Linked DNA regions of Macaca fascicularis. The protein of the gene in region 2 purifies or fractionates together with the protein of the main gene of each other region. This does not show direct contact. Links are inferred from orthologs where the notes say so. Each region holds a gene or a part of one and is shown on either strand. Other genes may lie near its edges.

What was found.
Region 1: the proteins of RPAP2 (region 2) and POLR2G purify together in Homo sapiens (affinity purification with mass spectrometry; 5 studies listed by BioGRID and IntAct, counting the BioPlex papers as one, with this or other methods). This does not show direct contact. The link is inferred for Macaca fascicularis from reciprocal best matches to the Homo sapiens genes RPAP2 and POLR2G.

Annotation. Positions count from the first base shown.
Region 1 is NC_088388.1:11,289,577-11,297,438, reverse strand, and holds the start of POLR2G (DNA-directed RNA polymerase II subunit RPB7), read left to right. Parts: upstream 1-2,804; 5' UTR 2,805-2,889; coding exon 2,890-3,158; intron 3,159-4,447; coding exon 4,448-4,607; intron 4,608-6,599; coding exon 6,600-6,650; intron 6,651-6,756; coding exon 6,757-6,822; intron 6,823-7,069; coding exon 7,070-7,141; intron 7,142-7,636; coding exon 7,637-7,670; intron 7,671-7,862. UniProt on the Homo sapiens protein: Core component of RNA polymerase II (Pol II), a DNA-dependent RNA polymerase which synthesizes mRNA precursors and many functional non-coding RNAs using the four ribonucleoside triphosphates as substrates.
Region 2 is NC_088375.1:142,099,840-142,106,918, forward strand, and holds part of RPAP2 (putative RNA polymerase II subunit B1 CTD phosphatase RPAP2), read right to left. Parts: intron 4,269-7,079; coding exon 4,186-4,268; intron 1,296-4,185; coding exon 1,215-1,295; intron 1-1,214.

The DNA.
Region 1 (7,862 bases), on a different chromosome or scaffold from region 2:
TCTCACCTCCAGCCCTAAGGCTGTTTTCTCCTATCTCAGTAAATAGAACATACAATGGGGTTTTACACGGAGACATTCTATTCTCATGGACATGCAGGAGACAGATGCCTTCCTCTTAACTACAAAGAGGCCTCCCTCTTTCACTAATCCTCCTCGGCACGGACCCTTTCCAGGTGTTGGGCTGAGAGACCATCAGGCCTTTCCCTTCCCAGGAGGCCATATCTCAGGCTATCACATGGGAAGAAAACTTGGACAATACCTGGCTTTCCTAGGCAGAGGTCCCTGTGGCCTTCCGCAGTGTATTGTGTCCCTGGGTACTTGAGATTAGAGAATGGTGATGACTTTTAACAAGCATACTGCCTTCAAGCACTTTTTTAACAAAGCACATCCTGCATAGCCCTAAATCCCTTAAACCTTGAGTCAACCCAGCACCTGTCTCTGCACATGTGCTGTACACATGGCTTGGGGCTAGGGTTGCAGATTAACAGCAAGTTGAGGCAGAAGAATTTCTCTTAGTACAGAACAAAATAGAGTCTCTTATGTCTACTTCTTTCTATATAGACACAGTAACAGTCTGATCTCTTTCCCCACATATAGGCAAGCACACAGGACTTTTTAGCAGGATTACATTTTTCATAGAAGATTGGTACATAGTTATAGTAATTTGGTTGGCTATAGACAATGTTTCTTTTTGGGAAAAGTACATGTAACTTTTTTTTTTTCAATGTTTTTTGATTTGGAGTCTGGCACTGTTGCCTGAGCTGGAGTGCAGTGGCACGATCTTGGCTCACTGCAACCTCCTCCTCCCAGGTTCAAGGGATTCTTCTGCCTCAGTCTCCCAAGTAGCTGGGATTACAGGCACCTGCCACCACGCCCGGCTAATTTTTTGTATTTTTTTTTTCTTTTTTTTTGAGACGAAGTCTCTCTCTGTGGCCCAGGCTGGAGTGCAGTGGCCAGATCTCAGATCACTGCAAGCTCCGCCTCCCGGGTTCACGCGGTTCTCCTGCCTCAGCCTCCCGAGTAGCTGGGACTACAGGCGCCCGCCACCTTGCCTGGCTATTTTTTTGTATTTTTTAGTAGAGACGGGGTTTCAACGTCTTAGCCAGGATGGTCTCGATCTCCTGACCTTGTGATCCACCCGTTTCGGCCTCCCAAAGTGCTGGGATTACAGGCTTGAGCCACCGCGCCCGGCCCCAATTTTTTGTATTTTTAGTAGAGATGGGGTTTCACTATGTTGGCCAGGCTGGTCTTGAACTTCTGACCTTGTGATTCACATGTAACTTTTTTTTTTTTTGAGAGGGAATCTTGCTCTGTCTCCCAGACTGGAGTGCAGTGGCACGATCTCGGCTCACTGCAACCTCTGCCTCCCGGGTTCAAGCAATTCTCCTGCCCCAGTCTCCCAAGTAGCCGGGATTACAGTCGTGAGCCATGGTGCCGGGGGTATGTAACATTTTTTTAACAGAGGATGAAATAGTCATGGATTTCCTGCACTCCAGCCTGGGTGACACAGCGAGACTCCCTCTCAAAAAAAAGAAAGTGAATTAATCTATAATCTGAGAACAGAAGTTGTAAACTATATGTGACTCACAGTCATATCTCTCTCGAGGCTTAAAATATTTTTTGGGATTGCAATAGCTTTTAAATTTTTTCTTTCTCTCTCTCTCTTTCTTTCGTTCTTTCTTAGTGTTGCTCTGTTGCCAGGCTGGAGTGCAGTGGCGCGATCTCAGCTCACCGCAGCCTCCGCCCCCCGGGTTCAAGCGATTTTCCTGCCTCAGCCTCCTGAGTAGCTGGGACTACAGGCACATGCCACCACGCCCGGCTAATTTTTTGTATTTTTAGTAGAGTCGAGGTTTCGCCGTGTTAGCAAGGATGGTCTCAATCTCCTGACCCCATGATCTGCCCGCCTCCGCCTTCCAAAGTGCTGGGATTACAGGCGTAAACCACTGCGCTCAGCCTAAATTTCATTATTTTCTGTAGTTTCCTGGCCTTTCGACTAAGGCTCATGTAAATTTTTTGTTATTTCTACACCAATTTCTGTAGATTATTATGAGAATTAAGGGAGATAATTATATAAAGGGCTTAACACAGTGTCTGGCATTTAGGAAGAAAGCAGTAAGTGGTAGCTATTATTTATTATTATTTTTTGTGATGGAGTTTCGCTTTTGTTGCCCAGGCTGGAGTGCAGTGGCCTCCCAGGTTCAAGCAATTCAGAGAGTTGCTGGCCGGGCACAGTGGCTCACGCCTGTAATTCCAGCACTTTTGGAGGCCGAGGTGGGTGGATCACCTAAGGTTGGGAGTTTGAGACTAGCCTGACCAACATGGAGAAACCCCATCTCTACTAAAAACACAAAATTGGCCGGGCGCTGTGACTCACGCCTGTAATTCCAGCACTTTGGGAGGCTGAGGAGGGCGGATCACAAGGTCAGGATATCAAGACCAGCCTGGCTAACCCGGTGAAACCCCGTCACTACTAAAAATACAAAAAATTAGCCGGGCGCGGTGGTGGGCGCCTGTAGTCCCAACTACTGGGGAGGCTGAGGCAGGAGAATGGCCCGAACCCGGGAGGCGGAGCTTGCAGTGAGCCGAGATCGCGCCACTGCACTCCAGCCTGGGAGACGGAGCCAGATCCGTCTCAAAACAAAAAAAAGAGAGTTGTGGTTTGATGGCCGGTGGGGGGGCGGGGCGGTGGTGAGGGGCGGGGCTTAGTGGTTCACGCCCACGGCTACAAGGCCCAATCAGACCCGTGGAGCAGGTGGAGTTCCGCCCTCGCTGAGGAGGTGGAGTTCCGCTCTCAACGACGCAGCAGGCGCGGAACTGGGGTTGCGGCGGCTAAGTGTGTTTCCGGTAGATTCCCAGGGGCGGTCGGAGGTGTGGACTGTTCCTGCCTTCATGCTCTGGGAAGATGTTCTACCATGTGAGCAGGGCCCAGGGTGGCGGCAAGGGCTGGGTGGAAAGGAGGAGCAAGGCCAGGCGCCGGCGCGAGGCTCCCCTTGTCGTCTGATAAGCTCCCAGCGCGTGGCCTGGTCGCCATCCCTCTTTTCTCCGCAGATCTCCCTAGAGCACGAAATCCTGCTGCACCCGCGCTACTTCGGCCCCAACTTGCTCAACACGGTGAAGCAGAAGCTCTTCACCGAAGTGGAGGGGACCTGCACAGGGAAGTGAGTGCCGAGCTCACCGTGCCGCCAGATCGTTCGATGCGCACACGGGTCGCTATACCTGCAAACCCTCCGCAACTCCTATTTAGTCCTGCCACCCACTCTAGGGACCCCGCTCACCCTCTCAGGCAGCCAGTTGCTTCCTGCTTTGGGTTCCCAGGGCGCCCTCTGCAATGCTGGACAATAAGACTTCCTTCCCTCAGCTGAGATTGGTCATTCATTCATTTACTCCTCAGACATTTTAAAAACACTTGGTGTGTGCCAGGACCCGTGTTGGGCTCAGAACAAGGTAGAATGGGAACAAGATAGAATGAGGCCAGCTCTTGTGGAGCTCACAGTGTAGTCATTGTTCCTGTGTCTCCTCTCACTCTGTCATTCTGCTGGTTTTCTCTTATCCCCTGTGTCCAGGGACCACACACCGTGGGCCTCTATATATCTTCTGAATGGATGACCAGAAAAAGTGGATCGAAAGTTTGGGGGAGGAAGGAAGTAGACTGGGACTTGACCATCTCTGGGCTTTGCACTGAGGGCCTTCTGTGATATTAATGAGCTGGGACCCAGCCCAGGGCAGTGGAGTACTTGGGCCTCCAGCATCAGAAAAACCTGCAGGAACATGCAGATTCCTGAGCCTCCTTATTCCCTACAGAATCAAGACTCTGTGAGGCAGACCTGAGAATCTGCATTTTAAGAAGATGATTCTCAGGCATCCCGAAGATTGAGATCTGTTTCCTCAAGGACTCCAGCCTTCTTGTACATTTACTGTGAAATTACCAGAACAGCATTTGGTCTTATACATACTGATCTGTGTTCTTTTTTTTTTTTTTTTTTTTTTGAGACGGAGTCTCGCTCTGTGGCCCAGGCTGGAGTGCAGTGGCCTGATCTCAGCTCACCGCAAGCTCCGCCTCCCGGGTTCAGGCCATTCTCCTGCCTCAGCTTCCCGAGTAGCTGGGACTACAGGCGCCTGCCACCTCGCCTGGCTAGTTTTTTGTATTTTTTAGTAGAGACGGGGTTTCACCGGGTTAGCCAGGATGGTCTCGATCTCCTGACGTCGTGATCCGCCCGTCTCGGCCTCCCAAAGTGCTGGGATTACAGGCTTGAGCCACCGCGCCCAGCCCATACTGATCTGTGTTCTGTCTTCTCTTGGTCATTAAGCTCTCTGGGAGCAGAGGTGCTATCTACTTGTCCTTTTGCTCTCCCCGACACTACTCCCAAGAGCTCAGTGACTTTTATTGCAGATGTCTCTAGAGGCTCTTGGACACACAATGTCTTTCTGTTTCTCATCCTCCTTGCAGGTATGGCTTTGTAATTGCTGTCACCACCATTGACAATATTGGTGCTGGTGTGATCCAGCCAGGCCGAGGCTTTGTCCTTTATCCAGTTAAGTACAAGGCCATTGTTTTCCGGCCCTTTAAAGGGGAGGTCGTGGATGCTGTTGTAACTCAGGTCAACAAGGTGAGACCATACGTAGGGGAGGCATTGGGGTAGTCTCTCAGTAGATCTGGGTTGGGTCCTGGCTCCACTTCATAACTGTGCCTTCAGCTAAGTCACTTTACTTCTTTTTTTTTTTTTGAGACGGAGTGTTGCTCTGTCGCCCAGGCTGGAGTGCAGTGGTGCCATCTTGGCTCACTGAAACCTCTGCCTTCTGGGTTCCAGTGAGTCTCTTGCCTCGGCCTCCCAAGTAGTTGGGACTAAAGGCAGGTGCCACCATTGCCGGCTAAGTTTTTGTATTTTTTTAGTAGAGATAGGGTTTTGCCATGTTGCCCAGGCTGATCTCGAACTCCTGAGCTCAATCTGCCTTCCTCGGCCTCCCAAAGCGCTAGGATTACAGGTGTGAGCTACCACGCCTAGCCATCACTTTACTTCTTGTGCTGCACTTTCAAATTGTATGGTAATCTTCCCTGCCCAACTCAGAGGGCAAGAGTCAACATTAATAGTCATAACAATAAAAGCCTGTGTTGATTGAGTAGTGACTGTGGGCCAGGTGAAGTGCAGAGACTCACAATGACTAAAAGGTGGGTGCTTTCCTTTTTTTTTTTTTTTTAAGATGGAGTTTAGCTCTGTCGCCAGACTGGAGTGCAGTGGCACAATCTTGGCTCACTACAACCTCCGCCTCTGGGTTCAAGTGATTCTCCTGCCTCAGCCTCCCAGGTAGCTGGGACTATAGGCATGCGCCACCACGCTCAGCTAATTTTTGTATTTTTAGTAGAGATGAGGTTTCTCCATGTTGGTCAGGCTGGTCTCAAACTCCTGACCTCAGGTGATCTGCCTGCCTCAGCCACCGAAAGTGCTGGGATTGTAGGCGTGAGCCACTGCCCCCGGCCAGTGGGTGCTTTTTACAGAAGCTGAAGCTTAGAAGAAGTTAAGTGTATTGGCCAAGATCATGTGGCCAACAGGTGTTCAAATCTTGGACTAACAGGCCTAAGCTCTTTAATACTTTAAAATGAAAGGTTAGGCTGGGCATGGTGGCTCACATCTGTAATCCCAGCACTTTGGGAGGCTGAGGTGGGCAGATCACCTGAGGTTGGGAGTTCAAGACCAGCCTGGCCAATATGATGAAACCCTATCTCTACTAAAAATACAAAAATTAGCCAGGCATCGTGGCATGTGCATGTAGTCCCAGCTACTCGGGAGGCTGAGGCATGAGAATCACTTGAACGTGGGAGGTGGAGGTTGCAGTGAGTTGAAATTGCACCACTGCACTCCAGAGTGAACAACAGAGCGAGATTCTGTCTCAAAATAAATACATAAATAAATACAAATGAAAGCTTAAAAAAAAAGAGAAGAGGGCTGGGTGTGCTGGCTTACACCTATAATCCCAGTGCTTTGGGAGGCAGAAGTGGGAAGATTGCTTGAGCCTAGGAGTTTGAGACCAGCCTGGGCAACATAGCAAGACTCTGTCTCTACAAAAAGTTTTAAAAAATTAGCCTAGCATGGTGGTGTGCACCTGTGGTCTCAGCTACTTGGAAGGCTGAGGTGGGAGGATTGCTTGAGCCCAGGAATTCAAAGGTACAGTGAGCTGTGATTACACCACTGCTTTCCAACCTGGGCAACAGTGAGAACCTGTCTCAAAATTTAGAAAGCAAAAAACAAAAACACAACACTTGAGGGGACAAAGAAAAGCAAGATCACTCTTTTTTTTTTTTTGAGACGGAGTCTTGCTCTGTTGCCAGGCTGGAGTACAATGGCGAGATCTGGCTCACTGCAACCTCCGCCTCCCGGGTTCAAACGATTCTCCTGCCTCAGTCTCTTGAGTAGCTGGGATTACAGGTGCGCTACCACACCCAGCTAATTTTTGTATTTTTAGCAGAGACAAGGTTTCACCATGTTGGTCAGGCTGGTCTTGAACTTGTGACCTCATGATCCACCCGCCTCGGCCCCCCAAAGTGCTGGGATTATAGGCATAAGCCACCGTGCATGACCATAAGATCACTCATTTTTTTCTAGGTTGGACTCTTCACAGAAATTGGACCCATGTCTTGCTTCATCTCTCGACATGTAAGTCTAGGCACACTGGGTGGGGCTGAGGAAGAGAGATACCCATTCATTACCATCTACTGAAGCATCCTTTTAAAGTGCTACCCTAATCTCACTTTCCTTTCAGTCCATCCCTTCAGAGATGGAGTTTGATCCTAACTCCAACCCACCATGTTACAAGACAATGGATGAGGTAAGTGGACAGAAAGAAGTCAGGAAGAGGAAGAGAGAATCAGTCATCCTGAGGGAGAATATTGGCCTGAGGATGGCCGAGCACAGATGGTCCCTGAATTACCATGGCTTGATTCATGATTTTATGACTTTACGATGATGCGAAAGTGATGTGCATTCAATATGCCCCCGGGCTTACAGTGAAGTAGTTGTGATGTAACCTCTCATAAACTGAGGAGCATCTGTACACTGTTCCCTCCTCTCCCCAGGATATTGTGATTCAGCAGGACGATGAGATCCGCTTAAAGATTGTGGGGACCCGTGTGGACAAGAATGACATTGTGAGTCTTTTCCCCACCTCTACCTATACCAGGCTGAGCGGAGAGCTGTTGGATTTCTTGCCACCTAGTTTCAGGGGGTTCTATGCTCTTCTGTCAGGAAGAAGGGATGGATGGGCAGAAGGCCTGGGGCTGCGGGGTAGAGGTTGGTTCTGTGCTCATCTTGGCTTCACTTTCTTTTTTTTTTTTTTTTTTTTGAGACGGAGTCTCGCTTTGTCGCCCAGGCTGGAGTGCAGTGGCCGGATCTCAGCTCACTGCAAGCTCCGCCTCCCGGGTTTACGCCATTCTCCTCCCGAGTAGCTGGGACTACAGGCGCCCACCACCTCGCCCGGCTAGTTTTTTGTATTTTTAGTAGAGACGGGGTTTCACCGTATTAGCCAGGATGGTCTCGATCTCCTGACCTCGTGATCCGCCCGTCTGGGCCTCCCAAAGTGCTGGGATTACAGGCTTGAGCCACCGCGCCCGGCCTTCACTTTCTTTTTACCATCTTTCCTGCAGTTTGCTATTGGCTCCCTGATGGACGATTACTTGGGTGAGTGCCTGATCATATGGGCTGGGGTTATTGCCTGGAGAAGGGTTGTGTAGGGGTGGGGAGTAATACAGGATTTAATGCCCAAATGAGAGAGAGACAGAAGAAACTTTCACGCTGTCTGGTTGAAAGATCCAGGACACGTTCCTTGGGATGAGAAGTACATGGTTGTGGCTGCCCCCAAATTCTGGGTCT
Region 2 (7,079 bases):
CATTTTGTTTAGTCAAAGTTCACTATAGAAGACTCTAGAATAATGTTTTAAGACATCTATAGTTTTGAATCTATGAAGGTTTGATAGTTTAATGTAAATTATTACAAATTATCCTTTTCAGCAGCTGAAGACAAGTCTTTGAAGACAAATAATTTTTGAGGTTTGCCTTAAACTTTGAATTCTAGATACAAAACTCTTTCTAGTAAAATCCTTACCGAAAAACCTTTTCCTGAATTACTTTTGGCACACAAAAAGGTTAGTGATGTTTTTAAATGTGCCAGTTTAAAATGATTGTCTATTAGGTGTTACTGATGTACAGTATGTTACTGCAAGAGAAATCTAACAGCTGACAGTGCCAAGAAATTGTTCCTGTACTGTAATTTTACACTTCTAAAATCTGACTGCTATTGTTGACAATAATAAACTACAATAATAAATACATATGATAAATGTCTTGGATAAATTAATTCTTCTACCCTAGAAGTTTATTCTGTGTCAGTGCAACATTAGCCACAGGCAAATGTTAATTTTAACATTTGGTCACTGGCATTTGGCTGAAATGTGCATTTGGTACAATTCTAGTAATAAGGCATTTAGAGGCTTATTGCTATGCTTCTTGGTAGAGAGAACCTAGTCTTAGCCTGATTGAATACTTTTATCTTGATAGTTTTAGGAAAAATCACAACAGTTTCACTCACAATTGATATCAATTCTCTATCCTCCCTTCCTTTAAAGTTCTTAGCACTTTAGTCTGTTCTGTGTAATTCAATATTAAATTACCCACTGTCTTGTACTGTTCACTGTACTCACATGATCTCCACACAGGAGAGTTCTTCCTTTAGGGCGGCATTATGTTTCTTTTACATTACCCATAGTGCCTGGCACAGTGTGGGTCATCCAATATATATTTACTATTTCACTTAAACCCATAGTATTACTGGCTTTGTGTCAGACATATAATTTTGCTTCTCAATTTTAGGCTATTCCATAAATAAACTATCCAAAGTGAACTATATAATGGCTTGAGCAAATAAAGGTTGCATTAAAAAGAAGAGAAAAATAACGTTGTTTAGTGGAGGAGAAAAATAGAATACCGTATTTAGATCTGTGGTATTGAAAGGTAAGTCACTTACTTTCTCTGTGCCTTTGGATTCTGCAAGGCAATAAATAAAGTCAAAATAATTGAGAAGGATAATTGTAATATAAATACTAACCTGAAAGTTCGAACAAGATTTTTAAGTTGTGTGTAAATATCTCCCAATGTAATCTGAAGAGGACAGAGAAGCCCAGGCAATCTGAAAATTAAAAAATTACATTTATTTTAAAACAACCTTAATTATATGGAAACTTTTTTTGGGTCATGCCTAGATCTGAATTTTCCATAGGTAATAATGGCATTTAGGTAGAAGCAGTCATGATTTAAAGGTTAACTTAGGTTATGACTGGTGAGAACTCATAAGGAAACATTACCCCACACTCCACTTTGTAGTCTGTTACTGAGTGTGAAGCACTGAAATGCAAAATCATTTTGGCAGCTATTTACATTCTTGTCCCTAGTTTTACTTACCTGTTTATTTTCAAATATTAGACCAAGATGGAAAGAACACAACTGCCCCCAAAATGGTCCAATCTGAGAGTGCGGTATATTTTTCCTTACTAAATCCTCATGGTGGGAGTAAAAATTAGTACCCTTTTATGAAGCAATCTGACAATATATATTAACAGTTTAAATGTGTTTGACCCAACAGTTTTACTATGAAAAAAATTTAATCTAAGGAAATAATCAGATAAACATAAAAAATATGCTTGTTGCGGAAATAGTTTTAGTAGTGAAAAATTGGAAACAAATGTGTATCAATAGGTGATTGGTTAGATAAATTATGATACACCAATTTCATAGAATAAGACATTTAAAATAATGTGAATCTATTTTTTAATATAAAAAGATATTCATGATAGATGTGAAGTGAAAAATGTACATAGTATCATCCTATTTTTATAAAAACATATTATATAATACCATTGTACTTCATATATATTACATATCAAGCATATTTCATCCCTTCTAGGTTTATCCATAGAGAGAACCAAATAGAATGAATATACATATGCCATATACATGTCGGGGATACACATCAAAATATTAATAGTAGTTAGTGTTGAGTGGTGGGATTACGGGTAATTTTTACTTCCTTCTTTAAACCATTCTGTATTGCCTCATTTGCTAAAGTATGTGTTACTTTATTTTTTTTAAAGCTTCTTTTTAAGACCAGTGTGATAATACAAAAAGCTTCTTACTATGGAAGTTTCACACATATTCCAAAATAGAAAGAACAGTAATAATCCCATATATCTATTTCCAGATTCAATTTCTTAATTTTTGTTACATTTGCTTCATTTCTCATTCCCTTCAGCACCCAGGCTGGAGTGCAGTGGCATAATCCAAACGTCAGGCAATAACAAACGCTGGTGAGAAATGTGGAGACAAGGGAACCCTCATACAGTGTTGGTGGCAATGGAAATTAGTACACCCACTATGGAGAACAGTTTAATCACGAGCATAATCATAGCTCGCTGCAGACTCAAACTCTTGGGCTCAAGCAATCCTCCACTTCAGCCTCCTGAGTAGTAACCCCACAACACCCGATTAATTTTTATTTTTATTTATTTTATTTTTTTGAGATGAAGTCTCACTCTGTCCCCCAGGCTGGAATGCAGTGATGGGATCTTGGCTCACTGCAAGCTCCGCCTCCCAGGTTCGGGCCATTCTCCTGCCTCAGCCTCCTGAGTAGCTGGGACTACAGGCGCCTGCCACCACGCCCGGCTAATTTTTTTTTTGTATTTTTAGTAGAGACAGGGTTTCACTGTGTTAGACAGGATGATCTCGATCTCTTGACCTCGTGATCTGCCTGCCTCAGTCTCCCAAAGTGCTGGGATTACAGGCGTGAGCCACCGCACCCGGCCTAATTTTTATTTTTATTTTTGTAGAGATGGGGTCTTACTATGTTGCCCAGGCTGGTCTTGAACTCCTGGCTTCAGGTGATCCCCCTGCCTCAGCCTCCCAAAGTTCTGGTATTACAGGCATGAGCCACCACACCTGGCCATTTTTTTCTTATTTTGTAGTAATATTTTAAAGTAAATACCTGTCGTCATGTCATTTGACCTGTTTCCATTTTTATCTCTAAATACAAAGGCACTTTCTTATATAATCACAATAAAATGATCATAACCATCCAAATTAACAATTCCTGAGTGTCATCTAATATCCAACATATTTAATTTCCTCTGATACTCTGAAATAAACACTTTTTACAGTTGGTTGGTTCAAATAAAAAACCAAAAAAGGTCTAACTTTGATAATGAGAAGAAAACTCTTTCATAAACAAACAACAAAAAATTCCTATAACATAATTAGTTTTGTCTTCACTCTTCTTTATGCCTTGGTTAATGTGAAATGTTTTCCGTATTTTCAAACTGCTACAAAATAAAACTTCATATTCACAACCCTTAAATAATGACTGACACACTTTTCCATGTTTTCTGCTAAAATAAGAAAATGCAGATTGAAAAGTTCAACACAGCCCTCACACCTCAGGAAAAAAAATCTTCAAGTTCTTTTTGAAAGAAAAACCAAGATAGCAATTTTTAAATGTCATTTATGACTGGGCTAATTACAAGAACAATACTTTCCACCACGGGAAGTTTAAAGCTAAAAGTGCAACGTTGAGCTGAACAAAAACTCAAGTTGCTGAATGTGAAATGGTTCTAAGGATATGCATGCAGAGTGAGTTAACAGACCCTTAAAACTTTATAATAACATCTTATTCACATCTGAAACTGCTGTGACACATTTACCACAAATCAGTATTTAAATGGGTCTAGCTGTGAGATTTTTTTTCCCTGACTTCACTGATTAGGTGGGAGTAACGTAGTTTGGTCTTCTAAATCCACAATCTCAACCTTCCTCTTTATGATGTGCCTCTGTGTCCTCTACACAAAAATTTGTATTTCTTGGAAAAAATATCTTAAAAATCCAAATTTCTCAACTGAAGAAATCCATGGAAACTTTTCACATTATTTTTCAAAATGTTCAAAATTTGAGGATAATACTTACACATTATGAGCTCATAAATGTCAAGCTAATTTAAAACTACTACAAAGCTGGAATGGCAATTATATACTTACACTTTACTCAACTTTTCAAGTACGATGCGTTTTCTAATCTGGTTCTGGGAACTTGAGTCTATCAGTGGAAAGGTGGAATCATGCTGAATCACATTTTTAAACAAAGCAAAACAGAATCATAAGTTTACATTCTTTCTTTGATAAGTAGAATAATAAACATTAAAACACAAAAGTTTATATCTGTGGCATAGTAGGAAAATAACTAGACTTGAGAATTAGATTTAAATTTGAGTATCAACTCAGTTGTTAGGCTGTTGTGAACTTGCTTGAGTCATTTGCCCTCTTTGGATAGTTAGTTTTCTCATCTTTGTAAGTGAGATATTAATACCTCCTTTATTAAATGATAAAATGTATACAAAAAGATTTTGTAAACTGCTAAGTGCTGTACAAATGTAGTGGATTAAAATATTAAAATTAGCAAATACTATAAATATATTATGAGGAGTTCTGTCATTATGTCATTTGACCCCTAATCATTCTAGAAATGGCACACAAGATAATTCAAACCAACTCTCTCTCTGAGAACTGAAAAAAGTTGGAGGAAAAAAATCCACATTTGTTTGAAACACATTTGTTAGCATCAGAGAGCTAACGAGGCTATAAAGAATTACAGTCTGAGATCCTGGAGAAGGTAATTACAGATAGAGCACTAATTTTCCATTTAGATATTGAGAAACGGAGCAGTTTTTCTAATAAAAACAGTTTAGGGTATCCTTCAAGAAGGGAGGGGTATGGGCAACCCTCCCCAAATATAAGACCAGGACTTGGAAAGACCGTACTCTAGGAATAAGAAAAAGAATAGGAAATAGACTAGTTCTTTCAGGAGGTGAATCCCACCTTGAAATCATCTTAATCTCTGATTACATTACAGTGATATGGAACAGCTACAAATCATGTCAGAAGCAAATATAAATCTATTCTAGAGGAAGATAACATCATCCTGAGTCTCCAGTTATCTCTCTAAATTTTAATATACAATGTTTGGCATGTAATAAGACAATATGATAACAATCTGAAACAGCCTACAGAGATCAATCCTGAGGGAATCTAAATAATGAAGTTATCAGCATTATTTAAATAAATGTTTAATGTATTCAAAGAAAAATGACAAGGTTGAAAATTTTTGACAGAGAACTGGAAACTACATAAAGTAACAAAATGAAGACCCTAGAACACAAAAATACAGTATTTAAAAGTAAGAACTAATGGGTAGACATAAGAGCATCGTAGAAATGACTGAAGAGAGAATGCTGAATAGGAAAATATCCAGAATGAAGCACAGTCACCACTCCCCAAACACATAATGTAAAGCACAAAGGAGATTAAGAGACCTACAAGATACAGTAAAAAAAAAAAAAAGACTAAAGAGGCAGAATGGAATAGAAGCAATATCTAGGAGATAACTGGGAACATTCCAAAACTTACAAAAAAAGTCTTAAAAGAAGCTAGAGGAAGAAGACACAATACTTTCAAAGGAGTAGCAATAAGAGATACAAATGGAAGCCAAAAGACAAGGGAATGATATTTTCAATGGGCTGAAAGAAAATAACTGCTCATCTAAAATTCAATACAGAAAAATATCTTTCAAAAGTAAAAGTAAAATAAAGAATTTTCTGACAAAGAAAAACTGAGAAAATTCATTATCAACTGATACTAAGAGAAGTATATTCTTCAGGCACAAGGCAAATAATCCCAGATGGAAGAATGGGGATAGAAGGAGGAATGAAAAACAATGAAAGAGTAATTAATTGGATAAATCCAGCTGAGTGTTGGCTATAAATAATCTTGCAATATATTTGAAATTTAGAGAAAATAAAAATATCCAATAATAGAACATAAGTCGAGAGGGATCAAGAGGGATACATGGAGTTAAATCATTCTAAGGTGCTAATTGTCCAGGAAGCAATGAAAATATTAACTTACATTAGACTTTAATAAGACAAAGATTCAGGTTTTAACACTTAGGGTAACCATTTAATGATCAATAAAACAGTATATAAAAACAATTTAACAGAGGCTAAAAAATGGAATAATGATTCAATGCAAAAGAAAGCAAGAGAGAAAAGGAAGACAGAATAAGTGGGACACACAGAAAGAGGAGTGAGATGGTAGATTTAAACACAAATACTGTATACCAATTGTGACATGAAATGCAGATAAATTCTCCACATAAAGGACAAAGATGATCAATCTAGACAGATTGTCCTTGACCACATTTATACAAGAATGTTAATGTCAGCAAAGTAGACTGTAAAGAAAAAAAAACAGAAAGATTGCTCCATAGTGATAGGAGTTTCAATTTACCAGGAAGACGTAACAATTTTACATTTATATCCAATAACATGGTCTCAAAAAGTAAAATTTGCAGAACTAAAAGGAGAAATAATCAATCCACAATTAAGGTGAGAGATTTTAACTCATCTTTCTCAGTGACTGATGGAATGAGCAGACCAAAACCAAAACCCAAACCACCACACCCCAACAGTGCTTCTCAAATGTTAATGTGCATGCCCATCTTCTGGGGATCTTGTTAAAAAGTAATTCTCATTCAGTAGATATGGGGTGGGGATGACAGTCTGAATTTCTAACAAGCTTCTAGATGATGCTGATGCTGCTTGTTCCATGGACCACACATTGTATAGTAAGCACTGTATTTACTCTATCTTTGTGTTTCTGAAAATTTCCCTAACAAAAAGTTTTTAAAAATTGACTACCCACAGGCCAGGTGTGGTGGCTCACACCTATAATCCCAGCACTTTGGGAGGCTGAGGTGGGCAGATCACTTGTCACAAGTTCGAGACCAACCTAGCCTGGCCAACATGGTGAAACCCCGTTTCTACTGAAAATACAAAAGTTAGCCAGGCATGGCAATGGATGCCTGTAATCCCAGCTAC